2 linked regions of the Rhinolophus ferrumequinum genome follow. The protein of the gene in region 1 binds, or shares a complex with, the protein of each later gene. Links are inferred from orthologs where the notes say so. Each region holds a gene or a part of one and is shown on either strand. Other genes may lie near its edges.

Region 1 (8,647 bases):
CCTAGCGGGGAGGAAACAAACACCTGTAAAAGAGGTGACAGGAATGCTGGAGAAAGGACTGGTAAATTTCTCCTTGGAAATATATTTGTCACAAGGCATCCTAAGAGGAGGATAGAGATGCACAATTCTGCTTCTCCATCAGATCAGGACAAGCTCAAACATTCCCGGGGGTGTATGGGATCCCATGCTAAAGGCAGCGTTTATCTGAGTACTACACACTGCTTGATCATCCAACCTAGTCCTGGGAAAATATTCAATGGGCAATTAAGATTCATAATCCAAATGGTCTAAAAATTATATCTCTGGGAAGTCAAGTCCAAATTAAATCAGACCAGGCTTTTAGGCTTCCAACGATCACATTTTCCCTTTTGAGTGAGTGCATTTCAACACTCAGAACTTCTCCTCTTACAGATCATTTTCAAGGCCATCTCTGGATGCAATCTCCTAAGCAAAATCTGATATATAAAATGAAAAGGGAAATTGGTGAATGCCAAACCTCAGAGAAAAAATGTTAACGGGGTCTCTAATCTCCTTCAGCAGATTTCAAAAAGTTAATTATCTTAACCTCCTTTCTAGTAAATATTACTGGAACTTCTCCTAACACAACAAACACATTGCACCTTATGAAACAAAAATATCCAAAACTAAGTTATTGCATATGGAAATCCTAAAGTACACCAGCAGGGCTTTGAAATACAAAGTACAATGGAATGCCTTCCATGTCAATTATATATATTATTGACATGTAAACTTAAAACTTATTTTAAACTTCTTCCCGCGTTATCAGCCCCAAGCCAGTGAAACAGACAGGTAACTGACAGATGGCACAGCCCTGCAACTCTCATTTCTGACTTCTGCCCAGACTTGAGACAACGTTCACAGCCAAGACGGACCGGTCTGGCTGGCCCTAGCCCCACGGGCCAGGGAAGAAAGAAGGAGAAAGATGATCAGGAACTCACATTTCGGTGATGTTCTCAGGATCTGCACTGTTAGGCACCAGCCTCGGAAACGCCACGATGCCAGGAGTAGGGTCGCTGCACCAGATCCGAGTAGCGCTGCATTTGCAGGACGTGGGACAGGCGAGAGCGGCCCTCCAGAAGCCCACAACCAACCAGCAGAAGCCCCAGAGCCGCGCCATGGCGGGTCCATGCCACCTCATCCAGGACGACATCCCTAGCCGCCAGTGCCAGCCCGAGTCAGACTGAGTACGTGTCCCTGGGCTGCACCAGCTGGCCTCTCCAGCCGATGCTGGGCAGTCTTTGCCGCGCTCGCAGCTCTCTCTATTCCGTGCTGGTTGCGGGCGCGCAGAGCCGAGCGTGTCCGGGGACTGATTGTGTCCTGGTGGGCAGCACCGTTCACAGCCGCTGGGGCATCTTGGGCCGTCTCACAGGGGGCGCTCCCGCCGCTTGGAGCTCCGCCGCGGCCGCCACTGCATGGCCCAGCGCGCTGGGCACCGGCCCGCGGCGCTCCCGGGACTCTCTGGGGCGCAGGCTTCTTGCTAGAGGCTCACTGGGATTCGGGACACACCTCGGGGCTGAGGACAAACAGACAAGCATAAGACTGAGCGCAGGACTCCAAACACCACGAATTGGTCCGCGCTCGCATCACCCCCACCCGGACCCCAGCCGGGAGATTGGATGGATGAGTGCCCAGCTCCCACCCCAAAAATAAACTTGCCCCTCGATGGCACTGATGCCGGTGGGGCCACCAATGTGCCCACCCTCTTTCCAAGCCTGAGGTCGAGGTAAGGGAGATAGGGCAAGGGTTCCTGAGACAGGATTCCATGGCACAGGCCAGGAGAAGACCCCTTAGAAGGGGAAGAAGGAACTGCCAGCGGCGATGGCTCCGCGACGGGGCCTCTGAATGATGCTGCAGAATCTGTCATTGCCGCTGGGCAGAGGGGGCGCGGGCAGGTGGCGCGGCCGGTCCCACCTGGTGAGCCGCCTGAGGCCGCCCAGGGGTGACAGTGAGGGCCAAGACGACGGAGGGCACTGTCCGCGCTGCTCACCCGGGCTCCGGCGCCTACCGCCAGCCGACGGCGCCTGGGTCCAGGCTCCTCCTGTCTCTGGGCACTGAGCGCGGAGAGCAGGAGAGAAGGAGCGAGCGAGGCTCCTGCTCCAACCCAATTCCGGGAGCCGCCGCCGCCGCCGCCTCTGCTACTGCTGGCGAAGTGACGTGAGGGCTGACGCAGAGCAGGGGCAGAAACTCCAGAAAATTAGTCTGAAATCCAAAAACACACACGCTCATACACACACAAACCCATAACACCCTCCAGACAAAAGCAACGGGGAGGGGAGGGGAATCTGGGGGCGAGCAGGGAGGAGGCAGGCATCGGTGCCACTGGTCAGAAGCAGACAGCAGCAGCATGTGGGAGTTCACACACGCGCATACACGCACACATCCTGGCCATGTAGACGCGCGTGCCTCGTGTGTGTGTGTGTGTGTGTGTGTGTGTGTGTGTGTGTGTGTTTAGATCCAGGTACCTCTGAGATGGACTGTTTGGCCGCTCAACGCCTACCAGTCCCTAATTCACACCGTAATCTCTTCCACAATCGCAGTAGAGTCTGTCTCCTTTTTTGAAATGGAAACCGGGCTCGGTTCAGCTCTGAAAAATGCGCTGATTCTTATTATAGGAATCCTCCCTCCCTTCTCTATCCCTGCTGCGTTTTCCTTTCCCATCCTGCCTAAAAGGGAGGGTGAGCTATCCTAAAAATAAATAAATATTGTAAACACCAAAACGTGTTCAGCATCGGTAACCAAGGATAACCGCCCCCATTCTGGGCCACCTATTTGGGGATCCGTGGTTTTCGAGGGTCTTTCTGTTGGTGTTTTTGCAGAGGAAGGGTAGTCTCCAAATGCAACTCTAGCTCTCTAAGTAGGTCTTTTTCTTGCTGTTTTCTGGCATCACACGCCAGGGAAATAGAGACTTGTGAGGGGAAAGGAGCGCGCCTGACGCGTATTGGGTTCCCTAAATGCGCGGCCGCAAAGCTGGCCTGTCCGATGTGTGGCGCCGCGTCATTTTCTCTCATCTGTCAACCTGGCAGGATGCAGCCATTCCCAGATTGTAGCTTCACTCCCCGCGATGCCCACCCCCATGCGTGTCACCCAGAGCCCTTGCTCCCCTGCCGTACCTTGCGCGTTTTCGTGTGTGCGCGGGTATGCGCGAACGCTTGCCCCGCGCCCACGCTGCCCAGAGCACGACATGAATCCAGCTACCGAGAAGCCCAGCACTAGCAGGGCCTCAGGGTCTCGTTAGGGACAAACGAGGCGATCCGGGAGGGTCGGGTGACAAACCGTAACTGTTCTGCGGGCGCAGTTAAATGATGGCTGCGGAGCATTCGCAAGCCTTGTCTGAGAATCCGTCTTCCCATTTGCGGCTCGGAGAGTCTCTTTTTCCGCAGTCATTTAAAAAGGAACTGGGAAAATGCACCGCAGTGCCTGACACTTCGGAGGGTTCTAGTGCCCCCGCGCGGGGAGAGAGCGCCCGGCACATTGGAGAGCACCAACCCAGGGCCGCGGCTGCGGCGGGCACAGCGCAGGGGGCGCGCTCTGGCGCCAGATGCGCAACCAGCGGCGCCCGACGCGTGCGCGCCCCTGCCCAGCCAGCTTGTGGCCCGCCAGGCCTCATAGAGCTCCGGCCGGAGAAAAACGCAGGCAGCACTCGGCGTCAGAAAGGGCAAATGAATGGGATCTCGTCCAGAAGATAAGAATGGTCGCCCATCTGTGTGAAGAGGCAGGGGTGGGAAGGATCGAGACCCTGAAAGTCTAGGTAAATACTTAGACCTCTGTAACGTTTTAAATATTACAAGGGAAGAGAAAGCATCTACTGGAGCTTTTGTGCAAAATCCCGACGCTGAGTGTAATCGCAGGAATCCTCGTGTAGCGCCCAAAAATCTCCTTGCAGGGCCGGAAGACAAAGCCAGCAGGTCTGCCTCTCTCCACGATCACTTGGCTGTGACACTCATTGGGTGTTGAATGGCCAGGCTGAAGTTCATTTCTCTGCCAGGCTGCCAACCCCTGCTGGGTGAAGACGTGCCAAGGAAGGGAAGCAAAGGGCAAAAATGTCTGGTCCAGGTCATAAAGTAACGCTCTTCCGCCTGTCTTGCCAGTGTCCTTAATGGAACTGCCCCTACAGAATACCCGAGGGAAGGGTGTGCATAATTACACACATCTCTCTCACACCCCACCCTCACCCCCTTTTTTTTCTTTCTCAGAAATGGCCCATTTGTGCCCTAGTGGCTGCAACGTGTCAGTGCAGCACCCAAAGGACACAGAGTGGTTTGCAGACCAGAAGATTCTAATTATGCTGTAATATTTTTAGAATTTGTATTTATTCATATATACTATTATATTTAGATTCTAAATATACCCCTACTAAATATCTCCCATTTAAAATTAAAACTGGAAGCCCCACTTCTAATCATCCTTCCCCTACTGTTTCATAGTCCTTACCATTTTTTAACAAATCATTTACTTATTTATTATGTGTACTATATATCGTATTTCTCCCAGTAGAACATAAACTCCATGCAGGCATGGATCTTTAGTTTGTTCATTAATATATCCCAAGGACACAGTAAGTGTTAAAATATCTGTGTGTATGTGTTTAATGAATAAATAAAAATTGAGATTCCTCCAACAGTCCATCTACACTCTCGCTTTCTTAACCTTCAGTCCTACAAGTCCATCTGAATAATTCCCTCTGGACACTCTCCCTCCCATCTCCACAACCTCGGAGTCCTCCCTGTGCTAGGAGTTCTGGCACAGGGAAGATTCCTGAAGCCTTACTTTCTGCCTTTCCTACTAGCCAGGTATGTTCTATCTAGCTCTGGGACAGAGAGGGCCTCCCTGACATTCATGCTGATAACATTATGTACAGTGCCTGAAACACACTGGTCAATCAATAACTATTTCTTAATTGATAAAAAATATGGGTCAATCTCAATTTTAAGAACTACAAGAGATTTCACAGAGATTTCAGGGATTCTCAAACTATGGTTTTATAGGAGATGATGAACATTTTGCAGATGGACAAAGTGAAGTAGGGGTAGTTTTCCCCAGATCATATGAACTCTTCAAGGCAGAGATGGAGACTGAGTGTTGCAGACTCCTGCCCATACTGGACCATGATGCACCTTGGACAGTATTTTTTAAACTATTTTCATCTTAATCCACAGTATGAAATGTGTTTTATATCACAATCCAATAAACACATATATGTGTGCATGTACTCAAAAAGAGCTTCACAAAACAAAACTCATTTACACTTAATATATGGAATACACTCATTTTTATTTTCTATTTTATACCATTTTATTTTTCAATGGTTGTTATAACCCAATAAGTTAATTTTACTATCCAAAACTGGGTAGTGGAAAAAAAAAATACTGCCAGCTTCTGCTTCTTACTAAGATGTAGTAATAGGGGACAGATTTAACCTCCCAACCAAATCATCAACACACTGAACAAAATACTTGAAATAACAATTCTCAAGACTGTAGACATAAGACAATGAAGGCTGTGGCTCAGGGAGAGGGAACTCAGGCAGAGCCCAACTCCCTGATTTGAGGAGACATAGCTGAGTGTTCAGGAAAATCAAGGAGGGCAGAGTTCACAAGGACAGAGGAGCAGGGAAAAGAGTAAGGTACAGAGAGAGAACTCCAGAGGTCTGCAGAAGGTCCCTCTCAAGTATTCAGCAGAGTACAGATTAGCACATGCAGGTGATGAAACTGCCTGGGGCCAGAGAAAGAAGTGCCAAAAGGATTAAAGGAACAAGGTCAAAGAAAAATTCAAAAGGGAAATGGAAAACATTACATATAAAAATTTATATTTACATGTCAATTATACTTCAATAAAACTGGGGGGGGGAAGATATTAAACAAATTTTTTTAAAATAATTTGTGAGATGCCCCTAAAGCATCTTAAATTATAGCACTAAATTCCTAATTAGAAAGGAAGAAAGGTCTCTAACCAGTGAACTCAGTTTCCACCTGAAGAAGCCAGAAAAATGAAAAGAAAATTAAATACAAAGTAAACAGAAGAGAAGAAATAATAAAGATCAGAGTTGGAAACAATGCAATAGAAAACAGAAAAACAGGAGAGAAAATCACTGAAGCCAAAAGCTGATTCTTTGAGAAGATGAATAAAATTAATAAACCGCAGGCCAAACTGACCAGGAATGAAAGAGAAAAGACATAAATTATCAATAACAAGAATAAGATCAATGATATCACTTAATCTATGGATAGTAAAGCAATAATAAGAAAATACTGTGAACAACTTTATGCAAGTAAGTTTTATAACTTAAATGAAATGGACATATTCCTTAAGAGATACAAGCTTACAAAGCTCACTATAGAAGAAACAGATAACCTGAATAGTCCTGTGTCTATTTCAGAAATTGAATTTATAGTTAAAAACCTTCCCATGAAGAAAACTTCAGGCCCAAATGACTTTCTGGTGAGTTTTACAAAACAATGAAGGAAAAATAATACCAGAAAATTAATAGTATCATAATCATCCCAGAAAAATGAAGATGAAAGAACATGTTCCAACTCATTCTATGGGGCTAGCATTTGGCTTGATACCAAAATCAAACAAAGACATTACAAAAAAAGAAAACAGCAAACCAATATCCCTCATAATGTTAAAATTCTAAACAAAATTTCCACAAATTGAACCCAGCAAAACATCAAACATCCAACAACATCGTGACCAAGTGAGGTTTATTCCAAAAACAAATTTTTTTGGTCTAATATTCAAAAATGTAATTTACCATATTTACAAACTAAAAATCTAAAATTATACAATCATCTCAAAAGATATATATATAATCTAAAATTATATGATCACCTCAATTTGACCAAATCCAACTCAGCAAACTAGAAATAAAAAGAAATATCCTCAACTGATAAATGGAATCAACAAAAAACCTACAGCTAACATAGTGCTTAAAGTAGAAGATGGAATGCTTTTTCCCAAATATCAGAAAGATATTTATTCATTTTCACCATTTCTATGTAGCATTTCTCTGGAGATTCTAGTCAGTGCAATAAGTCAAGAAGTAGAAGTAAAAGGCATCCAAACTGGAAAAGAAGAATAAAATTATCTTCATAAACAGACAACTTGATCTCCTATATAGAAAACCCCATAGAATCTACAAAAAAGCTATTCATACTAATAAGTGAATCATCCAGTTTTCAGGATACAAGTGAAGTGTTTATAAATTAATTGTATCTATATACTAGCAAAAAAAACAGGAATTAAATTTGTAAAAAAATAATACTAATTACAATAGTATAAATATACGAAATACTTAAAGCACAAATTGAAAAGGAAAAGGATGGATAAATTGGATCTTATAAAAATTACTAATTCCTGTTCTTCAAAAGATACTGTTAAGAGAATGAAAAGAAGAGCCACAAAATCGGAGACATATATGCAAATCATATATTTGATAAAGGGTTTGTCCAAAATTTATAAAGGACTCTCAAAACGCAATAATAATAAAAAAATATTTTTTTAAGTGTGCAAATAATGTGAACATATACTCTACCGAAGAAAGTACACAGGTGGCAAATAAGCACATGAGAAGATGCTCAACATCATTAGTCTCTGGAGAAATACAAATTAAAACTACAATGGGATACCTACACACCAATTGGATTGGTTAATATTAAAAAGACTCAAGTGTTGATAAGACTATAGGGTAATGGGAAGTCTCATACACTGCTGGTGGGAATGAAAAATGGTACAACCACTTTGGAAAAGTAGAGCACTTTCTTTTTTTTTTTTTTTTCCTTTTTTTTTATTTAAATTTATTGGGGTGACAATTGTTATTAAAATTACATAGATTTCAGGTGTGCAATTCTATATCACATCATCTATAAATTACATTGTGTGTTCACCACCCAGAGTCAGTTCTCCTTCCATCACCGTATATTTGATCCCCCTTACCCTCATCTCCCACCCCCAACCCCTTTACCCTCTGGTAACCGCTAAATTACGTTCCCCAGATTAATTTTCAAACCCCGTGGCCATCCTGTGGTCACCGACTGCCCTTCAATCCCTTCACCCACCACCCACCCCCCCCCCGCCCATCTAGCAATCCTCAGTTTTTCCTCTTTGTCTCCAACACTGTTTCTGGTTAGTTCATTCACTTATTCTTTTCTTTAGATTCCGCAAATAAGTGAGATCATATGGTACTTATCTTTCTCTGTCTGACTTATTTCACTTAACATAATGTTCTCTAGGTCCATCCATGTTGTTGCAAATGATAAGATTTCTTTCTTCTTTATGGCTGCGTAATACTCCATTGTATAAATGTACCACAGTTTTTTAATCCAATCATCTACCGATGGGCATTTTGGTTGTTTCCATGTCTTGGCTATTGTGTATAGTGCTGCAATAAACATAGGAGTGCATAAAGATTTTTGAATTGGAGTTTTGGATTTCTCCGGATAGATACCTAGGAGTGGGATTACTGGATCATAGGGTAGTTCCATTTTCAGATTTTTGAGATACCTCCATACTGTTTTCCATAGTGGTAGAGCACTTTCTTGAAAAGTGACTCATATACCTACCACGTGATCCAGCCATTCCAATTTTATGTATTGTCCCAAGAAAAATAAAAACATATGTCCATACA
Region 2 (8,754 bases), on another chromosome or scaffold:
ATCAAAACACGGGTTAAGGGGCAGGAGGAGGCGGGCCTCTCAGGAAGGTGGGGTCTGGCTGTGGGTGGGCGGGGCATGGTGGTCTGGTGGGAGGACCTGGCCAATCATAGGTGGGGCAAGGGGCTTTGAGGAATGAGCAACCCAGGGACAGGGCCTGACCAGGGCATTCCACCATTAAAAGCTGGGGCTTGGGAAGGTACAGTTATTGGGGGCGGGCCTGAGGATCTGAATAGGTGGGCCTGCCCTTTCAGAAGGCAGGGTTAAAGTAGATGAGAAACCTGGCTTGAGGAGGGCAGGAGGACAGGAGTACAGGTACATTAGGAAATCAAAGGTGGTGGGTGGAGGAGAGCCTGAAAAATCAGGTCTGTGCACCTGACAGTAACCAATGGGAAGGATGGAGTGGAAGTGGTGAGAATCGGTCCTGAAGAAAGTAGCTGAGAGAGTTGGAGACAGAGGGATGGGTCCCATAGGGCTAGGGTAGGAAGAATACATCACAGAGAAAGTTGGGCTGAGGCAGTGAGGGGAGAGCCCCCAGGTTTGAAAGACAGAAAAGTCTTTAACCATTATAGTCTGGGCTGGGTTTGGGAGGGCACTGCACAAGGGTGTGGGGCCAGGGTGGGGATCCTCCCTACCTAGAAAAATCAATGCTTGGAGGCAGGCTTTGGGAGGGAAGAGGTTGAGTCCCACTCAAGCATCATTTTATGAGGCCCCTCCAGTAAAAGATGAGGGACCATAAAGTCAGACATTCAGGGACAAGCCCTGGGGTCCTTGGAAAGAGTCTATGACAACTGAGTCACTGGCCTCCTGGGGCAGCGGCTATTGAGCAATTTGTAGATAAGTAGTTGGATATTTAAACAACATATGTGGCTGTTCCAGTGTGTCCCAGCCTGGTGTGGTCCTCCCTGAACCCCTTCCTTCCTGCAGTTCCTTACTCGGCTGAACAGCTCCAACCCTGTGCCTGGACCTCCACCTCGCACCCCCTTCGATGACCCATTCTTTGTGGTAGAGACATTGTGCATCTGTTGGTTCTCCTTCGAGCTGCTGGTGCGCCTGTTGGCCTGTCCAAGCAAGGCGGCCTTCTTCAAGAATGTGATGAACCTCATTGATTTTGTGGCCATCCTGCCCTACTTTGTGGCGCTGGGCACCGAGCTGGCCCGGCAGCGGGGGGTGGGCCAGCCAGCCATGTCACTGGCCATCCTTCGCGTCATCCGACTGGTGCGCGTCTTCCGCATCTTCAAGCTGTCCCGGCACTCAAAGGGCCTGCAGATCTTGGGCCAGACGCTACGGGCCTCCATGCGTGAGCTGGGCCTCCTCATCTTTTTCCTCTTCATTGGTGTGGTCCTCTTCTCCAGCGCAGTCTACTTTGCCGAGGTCGACCGGGCAGACTCCCATTTCACCAGTATCCCTGAGTCCTTCTGGTGGGCAGTGGTCACCATGACCACAGTCGGCTATGGCGACATGGCGCCCGTCACTGTGGGTGGCAAGATAGTGGGCTCACTGTGCGCCATCGCTGGTGTGCTGACCATTTCCCTGCCTGTGCCCGTCATTGTCTCCAACTTCAGCTACTTTTACCACCGGGAGACAGAGGGAGAGGAGCCTGGGATGTATAGCCATGTGGACACGCAGCCCTGTGGCCCACTCGAGGGCAAGGTCAATGGCGGGTTGGTGGATGGAGAGGTGCCTGAGCTACCGCCTCCCCTCTGGGCACCCCCTGGGAAACACATGGTCACCGAAGTGTGAGGGACAGTTGAGGCCTGCAGGACCTCACACTTCCTTGGAGGGAGGCGGGAAGGGAGGGATGAAGGGCAAGGTTGGGGGGAGGGGGTTGGGTTTAGGAAGAACTAGGTTAAGTGGTAATGAGTTGGGGAACACTGAGTCTTATTGGGTCTTGAGTTGTGGGTTGGTGGCTCCTATGGGTACCTCCTTAGGTGGCAGTGAATGGCAGCGGGTTATGCTGAGTTGAGGGGGAGACTGTGCTAGTTTGTATTGCATTGGGTTGTGCAAGTCTCGTGGAGTCTTTTGGGGTAGTGTTGAAAAAAGGTTCGGTCACATAGTTTTGTGAGTTTCTTACTTCCATGCTGGATTGGGTTGTCAGTCTGGGTGAGTTGTGTCCAACTATGTTGTGCAGGATTCTGTGGTTTTATGAGTCCCCCAGGGCCATGTTGGGTCAAGTTAGGTGGCCACCCACGGCATTATTGGGACTAATTGCGTGCTCATGCATGGTGTTGTGGAGTTGAGACATGTTGAAAATTGTGTGACTTCGTGATTCTTCTAGAGCTATGTTATTTTAGGTTCTGTGAACTTGTGAGTCATGTGGAAATACGAAGAGTCAAGTGATAGAATGTGAGCTTTCTAGGTCACATCAGGTTAAGTTGGCTTGGAATGTATGACCCTATGAGTCTCCCAGGATTCTGTTGGGTTGGATTGTGTAGAGTTATGTGGCTGGAAGTTTTTCGGGGCCACTGGAGTTGAGTTGTATTGAGTTGTATAACCATTCAAGTCTCGTAGGGCCATGCTGAGCTGAGTTACATCAAGTTGTGTCATTGTGAGTCCCGTAGGAATGTTGGGTTGAGTTGGGCTGTGTGTATGAGCTCCACAGGGCTATGTTGGTTTGTTTTGCATTTAGTGGTAGCACCAGAACCTGAGGATAACAGCACTGGGGAGGAATCATGTATCAGGGAGAGAGTGTGGTATTATGGACTCTGGGAGAAAAACTGAACTGGCTCGCCCAGTGTCACTCACCATAAGGGTGGGGCTGGGTTCTGTATCCATAGATTCAGTTGTTCATGAAGAGAGCCTCTGGGTCAAGTAGGAAGATGTAGACATTCCTGTTTACCAACCCGCTTCGTTTTGCCATTCAAACCCCCTTACTATCTGTCCTCCCCTACAGTTTTGCTTCCAGGAATGGAGATCAGAGCCACAGGGAAGAGAGCGACGGGATGACACTGTACTCTGTCCAGACATGATGGGGGGGACAGAAACCCAGAGGAGTGAGACAGAGACCAGAGGAGGGATGGAGAATCAGAGAAAGAAAGAGACAGAAACCCAGGGAAGAGGGGACAAAGGCCCAAAGAGAGGAACAGAGACTCAGGGAGGAGGAGACAATGACCCAGAGGGAAGGGGACAGAAATCCAAAAAGAGAGGGGGACAGAGACCAAGAGTGGAGGATAGAGACCCAGAGGGGGTGTCCAGCACCCAGAGAAAGAGGGACAGACACCCAGAGCTATAGGCAGACCAGAGTGCCCCAGAGAAAGCCAAGAGAGAAAAAGTTAGTGCTCTGAGACTGAGAGAGATACACAGAGTCTCTATTCCATGGAATCACAAAGAAATCCCCAAATTGGGGCACGCCACCCCATCCTCCCATCAGACAAACAGGGGAGAAACCAGAGTCTTAGAGCATGAGAATGGCTTCCCAAGTCACGCGGCCTGTCACCAGGGGCCAGGACTTGTGGCAGGCTGCCTGCCACATCAGCCTGCTGGTACGCACAGGACCTCTGAGTCCAAACAGCCTCACAAACAAGGAAACTGAGGCTCAGAGGGGAGGATGTTACCCAGAGTCACACAGCCATACAGTTTCAGAAGTCTTTCAGTACTAAAAGGGCATTTCGAGGACGAGGAAAAGAAGAAGGGGAGGGTTAAATCACTAACACATATAGGGCTTCCTATGTGTCAGGTATCATTCAAAGTCCTTTACTTGTATTAATTTATTAAAACCCATCCAGTGGTTTACAGAGTGTTGTTCTTGTTCTTCTTCTTCTTTTTAGCTCTAACAAACTCCCCCCCCCTACTTTTTTTTTGGTCAAATGAAATTTTACCTAGAGGCACCAGGGTGACACATCAGAAGGGAACTGGTTTGAGGGGAACACACCTCTTCTGGAGCCCCTCTTGGCAACTCAGAATGCAGCTAAGAAATTCAGTTTGAAAACCTGTGATTTAATCCAACCACCTTTAATACAGAGAGAAAGAAGAAAATACAGATTGTGGGAAGAGTTTGATAAAGGTCGGAAATAATTTAGATTGTCACTTCCCTCTGAAATGGAGAGAAAAGCACATCTGGAGACAGAAATGGAGACAGAGTCCCTCACTGTTGCAAACACAAAACAGAGTCTTGTAGGCAGGTACAGAGCCCAGCATAGAGATTGGAAGAGGAGACACACGCAGAAAGGAACCCAAGATCTGCAGAGAGAACAGAGACAGAAGCTAAGAGAAACACCCACCGGGAGGAGGAGGAGGAGAGAGCAGGGCAGTGGCCTGGGAGAGGGTCAGACGCTCAGGGTGAGGACAGAGACCTACAGGCAGGAGAAAGAACCAGAGAGTGGAGCTAAGAAATCCAGAGGAGGGAGGGGAAACGGACTCAAAGAGAGAGGAGCAGAGACCCAGACAGAGGGGGACCGGCATGGGGGGGTGGAAAACGGAGGGGGGAGATAGAGACCCAGAGAGGAGGGGCCAGGGACCAGAGAGAGGGGCACAGACCCAGAGAGAGGGGGATGGAGAGACTCAGAGAAAGGGAGACAGAGACCCAGACAGAGAGGGACAGAGACCCAGAGTATGGGGAGAGGGGGGACAGATACTGTTGCCCAGTTACTTTTCTTTGCGAACTCACCTGTACTACCCCGTCAGAGACTAGGAGTTACACAGAGTCCCTCTGGTAGGGGGCGGGACATGCTGGGTGCTTAGGGGTGGGGGAAAGTGTGGAGAGGTCAGGGCGGTGACTTGAATGGACACTCAATGACTGAGAAGCGCCCCTCCCCCACCCCAATAAACAACTGCAGCCACCTTTTATGTTGCCTTGGCTGGGATGGGGAAGAGGAGAGGGGAACACCCTAATCTGGGGACACCCTTCCTGCCACCTTGCCATGCTATATTTAGATTGAGGGAGGGGTACGGGATGCCTCTTACCCCCACCCCCCAAGACAGGTGTCAGTTTTCCTCCTGAAAATAGCTCCAGGGGAGAGATGAAGTGTTCTGCAGCAGGACTGTCTGGAACTCCAACTCCCATTTCCGTCTGTCTTAGGGTCCCTCTCTCTGGCTTTATGTCCCCTTTTCCTCTCCGTTTCTGTGCCTGTCCCGGTCTGCCTTCATCTGTCACTATTCGCTTTCTTTCTCTAAGGTCATTCTGTTTCCAAGTCATACCTGTCTATCTCCGAATCCTATACTACCTTGAATTTCTCTTATCTGAGCTCAGGACAAGACCCTCTCCCCAGTCCCCACCCAGGAAATTCCAGGAGAGAGGACTATGCGGGAGAGCCGCCACATCCACTGTCTCCCGGGGCGGCGGGCCTTATCACTGCCCAAGCCCAGCTGGTTAATGTCTGGGCTGGAGCTCCTGGGAAAGTGGGGGTGAGAGCAGAGGATGGGAATCTGCCTGGGGATTGACACTTAATTGGCAAAAGAATGCAAAGGAATCTCGGGCCCAGACTCCTGGGTCTGAGGGAGGAGGTGGCTAGGGGTCCCCATTCCTGGGTCTGAGGGAGGAGGGGGCTGAAACGGGGGGAAGAAAGGGCCGGGGGTCCAGACTACTGGTCTGAGGGAAGAGAGGGCTTGAGGGACCCCGGACTCCTGGGTTTGAGAGAGGAGGGGGCTGGCGCCTGGCCTCCTGGGACTGAGACGGGCGGAGGGCTGAACGAGCCAGGCCAGGCTTCCGAGGTCCCGGCCCGCGTGTGGAAGGCGGGATCCCCCGGCCCCTCCTCCGCCGTCGGGCGCCGCCACGCCCCCGCGCCCGACCCGGGCCCTCCTGAGCGTGTGCAGCGAGGAACCGGCGGGCGAGCGGGCGTCCGTGCAGCCAGCGAGCAGGAGGAGGAGCCGCCGCCGCCCCAGGGGCAGTCGGAGGAGCAGAGGAGGACGCCCCAGGTAAGAGCCTCGGCGTCTCCTCCCCTGGGATTCCGGTGTCCCGGTCGCCCTGCCCCCGGGTAGGGAGGGACGTGGGCGGGGCCGGCGGGGGCGGGGCTTGGCGGAGGAAACTGAGGCAGGAGAAAAGTGTGTGAGATGAGAAGCGGGTTACCCCCAGTGAGGTCTCAGGAATGCTGAGCCCCAGCCTGAATCTTCTGGGAGTCCGTATATCTGAGCACCTGGGGAGGCGGGTCCTTGAACTTCAGAACTCTCAGGGAGGAGGGGCTGAGGGCCTGGACGCCTGGGTCTGAGGGAGGAGGGGACTGGAGGCCCTGACTCCTTAGTCTGAGGGAAGAAGGATTTGGGGTCCTGGACTTCTCCATCTGGGAGGGGAGGTCTGGGGGGGGCTGGACTCCAAGGGACAGGCAGCTGGGGACCAGGACTCCTGGTGTGAGGGAGGAGGCAGCTGAGGACCCTACACTCCTGGTCCTGGTTGGGTCAACATGTGCCTCTCTTCACACCCCACTTTCCCATTACCCATCTCCCAGCCAGGGCAGGCAGCCACTCCAGGTATGTGCAGTAGAAGTCTTGGACGGGCCCTGGCCTGTCCTGTGTGGAGAGAACATTCCAGGAAGCAGCCTCGGGGACCCAGGGCTTCTTGAGTGTGGGCCCTCAGGGACCCGGGTGTCCAGGCCAGCCCCGCCCCTGCCCTGTCTGGGAGATGAATGGGCCCAGGAGGATGTAATCTTTTCCAGCCTCTCCCCTCCCCTCTTTTCCCCGCATCTGCTTCCCATCCCAGCCAGGAGCCATCACCTGGGCAGGGAAGGGGCCTCTGGAAGGGGGTGAGGCTTTGACTCTTGGGTACCTTACACTTTAAGAGGAACACTCTGAAGGGGAGTGTCCAGGGAATCAGGCCCCCTCCCCCACTTGCCTATATAACCTGCCTGTTCCCTTCTTCACCTAGGTGGTTGCCCCCTCCGTCTCCTGAGATGTCAGGAAGGAGGGGGCCACCTGTGTCCCCCACAGGGCCCCCCTGGAGCCAGGGGGCCCCCACCCTGGGAGCTCGGAGACGGAGGAGGTGCTGACAGGTCTGGTAACTACCCAGTCCCCTCCACACCACCCTTTCCCAGAACTACAGGCTTCCAGAATATTGTAGAGAAACTGCAGTGTCCACACCCCCACCTGAATCTCCCAGCCCCAGGTCAATTTCACAGACAGGGAAACTGAGGCCCTGCCTGGGAGAGAAAGTGTCTTGCCTTCTTAGTGGCAGTTTTGAGCTGAACTTGGGTCTCTGTAGGATTTCAGATCATGGTCTTTCTCAGAATTTTGGAACCTCAAACCTCCTCCAGGCTATAGGACTTAGGGTTCCTTGGGGTTGTCAAGGCAGTATGGCAGAGTGGAGTTGCTCAGACAGGGTTTGAGTCCCATCTCTGGCATTTGCAGGCTGTGTGACCTGGGACAAGTCACTAACCTCTCTGAGCCTGTATTTCTCCAATTGTTGGCTATTATTAGTAATAGAGGTAGAATAATTATGATTAATCTAAAATTTGGATATTATTCAATCCTAGCATATAGGGTCCCCCAAGGTTCTAGAACAAATGCCCCCCTGTGGTTCTGGCATGCAGGTCCTCTCCTAAATTGTTACCCTCTTTTCTAACTCCAGCTTCCCTGTCTTCATCCTCAGGTGCTCAGCGAAATGCTCCGGCACCCCTCATGCTCCCTCCCCATCCTCCTCCTTTGCCTTCTCCCCAGTGTCCCAGTGGAACCCCACCCCCCACCCTCACCACTGCCCCCATTTCCAGCCCCTGAGTGGGACCTCCTGTCTCCTCGAGTTGTCCTGTCCAGGGGTACCCCTGCGGGCCCTCCTCTACTCTTTCTGCTGGAGGCCGGGGCCTTTGGGGAGCCAGCAGGCAGCCCAGCTAACCGAAGTAGGCGAGGGGTGAGTGAGACAGCACCAGCAAGTCGCCGGGGAGAGCTGGCGGTGTGCGATGCAGTCAGCAGCTGGGTGACAGACCGCCGGACAGCTGTGGACCTGCGTGGGCGTGAGGTGGAGGTGCTAGGCGAGGTGCCTGCAGCTGGCGGCAGTCCCCTTCGCCAGTACTTCTTTGAGACTCGGTGCAAGACTGACAGCACTGGGGAAGGTGGCCCCGATGGAGGTGGAGGCGGCTGCCGGGGTGTGGACCGGAGGCACTGGGTGTCTGAGTGTAAGGCCAAGCAATCCTATGTGCGGGCATTGACCACTGATGCCCAGGGCCGTGTGGGCTGGCGATGGATTAGAATTGACACTGCCTGCGTCTGCACACTCCTCAGCCGGACTGGCCGGGCCTGATGCCCATGCCCGGGAATTGGGCAACCAGAGGAAGAAGAGAGCTGGATGCTGAGGGACATCAGGGGTGGCCTGGCTGCTCTGGGTATCAGTTTGGTAACTTGTCAAATGGTCACAAAATCACAGCTCTCTGATCTTGACAGCTCAATCTGTGCAAGACAGGTGGTGAAACCAAATGGGGTTTTGAAGGATGAATAGGAGTTTTCGGATAAACTCGAGGGTGATGATGATGACAGCCAATGTTTTGAATGCCTCCTGTTTATCAGCTCTCATACACAGCTTGTCAGATCAACTGGGGTGGATTTGGCCATTGGAGGCCCTTGGCTTCTGAGTTACTGACCATATGATCTCAGAGGACATCACTTTGCCCATCCTGGAGAGAACAACGAGGGGATATGTCAAGAAGTGGGTGGAGGAGCTTAAAAACTGGAACATGTGAGCAACTAAATGGGAGCTAGGGTTTGAATGGGAAATTTACTTGGTCAGATGGGGCAAGAATTTATTTTGAGGTAGTGAACTACCCATCACAGTAGGAGCACAAGCAGGTTGAATGATAGGAGATCAGGATGCTAGAGAATTTGGCCCTGGTAGGGAGTTGG

Evidence for each region.
Region 2: the proteins of NTRK2 (region 1) and NTF4 are in contact, whole or in part, in a crystal structure (PDB 1HCF), measured with the Homo sapiens proteins. The link is inferred for Rhinolophus ferrumequinum from reciprocal best matches to the Homo sapiens genes NTRK2 and NTF4. Residues at the interface, in NP_001018074.1 of Homo sapiens: Phe291, Glu293, Thr296, Ser297, Asp298, His299, Cys302, Pro304, Thr306, His335, Val336, His343, Gly344, Cys345, Asn350, Thr352, His353, Met379, Gly380, Trp381, Pro382, Gly383; in NP_001382418.1 of Homo sapiens: Gly81, Val82, Ser83, Glu84, Thr85, Ala86, Ser89, Arg90, Arg91, Gly92, Glu93, Leu94, Ala95, Asp98, Ala99, Ser101, Gly102, Trp103, Thr105, Tyr135, Phe137.

The regions. Positions count from the first base shown.
Region 1 is NC_046295.1:47,787,194-47,795,840, reverse strand, and holds the start of NTRK2 (BDNF/NT-3 growth factors receptor), read right to left. Parts: upstream 3,423-8,647; 5' UTR 3,132-3,422; intron 2,588-3,131; exon of another isoform or gene 2,484-2,587; intron 2,374-2,483; exon of another isoform or gene 2,221-2,373; 5' UTR 1,933-2,220; intron 1,535-1,932; 5' UTR 1,172-1,534; coding exon 960-1,171; intron 1-959. UniProt on the Homo sapiens protein: Receptor tyrosine kinase involved in the development and the maturation of the central and the peripheral nervous systems through regulation of neuron survival, proliferation, migration, differentiation, and synapse formation and plasticity.
Region 2 is NC_046298.1:44,372,490-44,381,243, reverse strand, and holds NTF4 (neurotrophin-4), read left to right. Parts: upstream 1-5,557; 5' UTR 5,558-5,850; intron 5,851-6,793; 5' UTR 6,794-6,917; intron 6,918-7,513; 5' UTR 7,514-7,525; coding exon 7,526-8,158; 3' UTR 8,159-8,578; downstream 8,579-8,754. Other genes in the region: KCNA7 (potassium voltage-gated channel subfamily A member 7), read left to right, coding at 925-1,740. UniProt on the Homo sapiens protein: Target-derived survival factor for peripheral sensory sympathetic neurons. May promote ameloblast differentiation and subsequent reduction in proliferation of ameloblasts.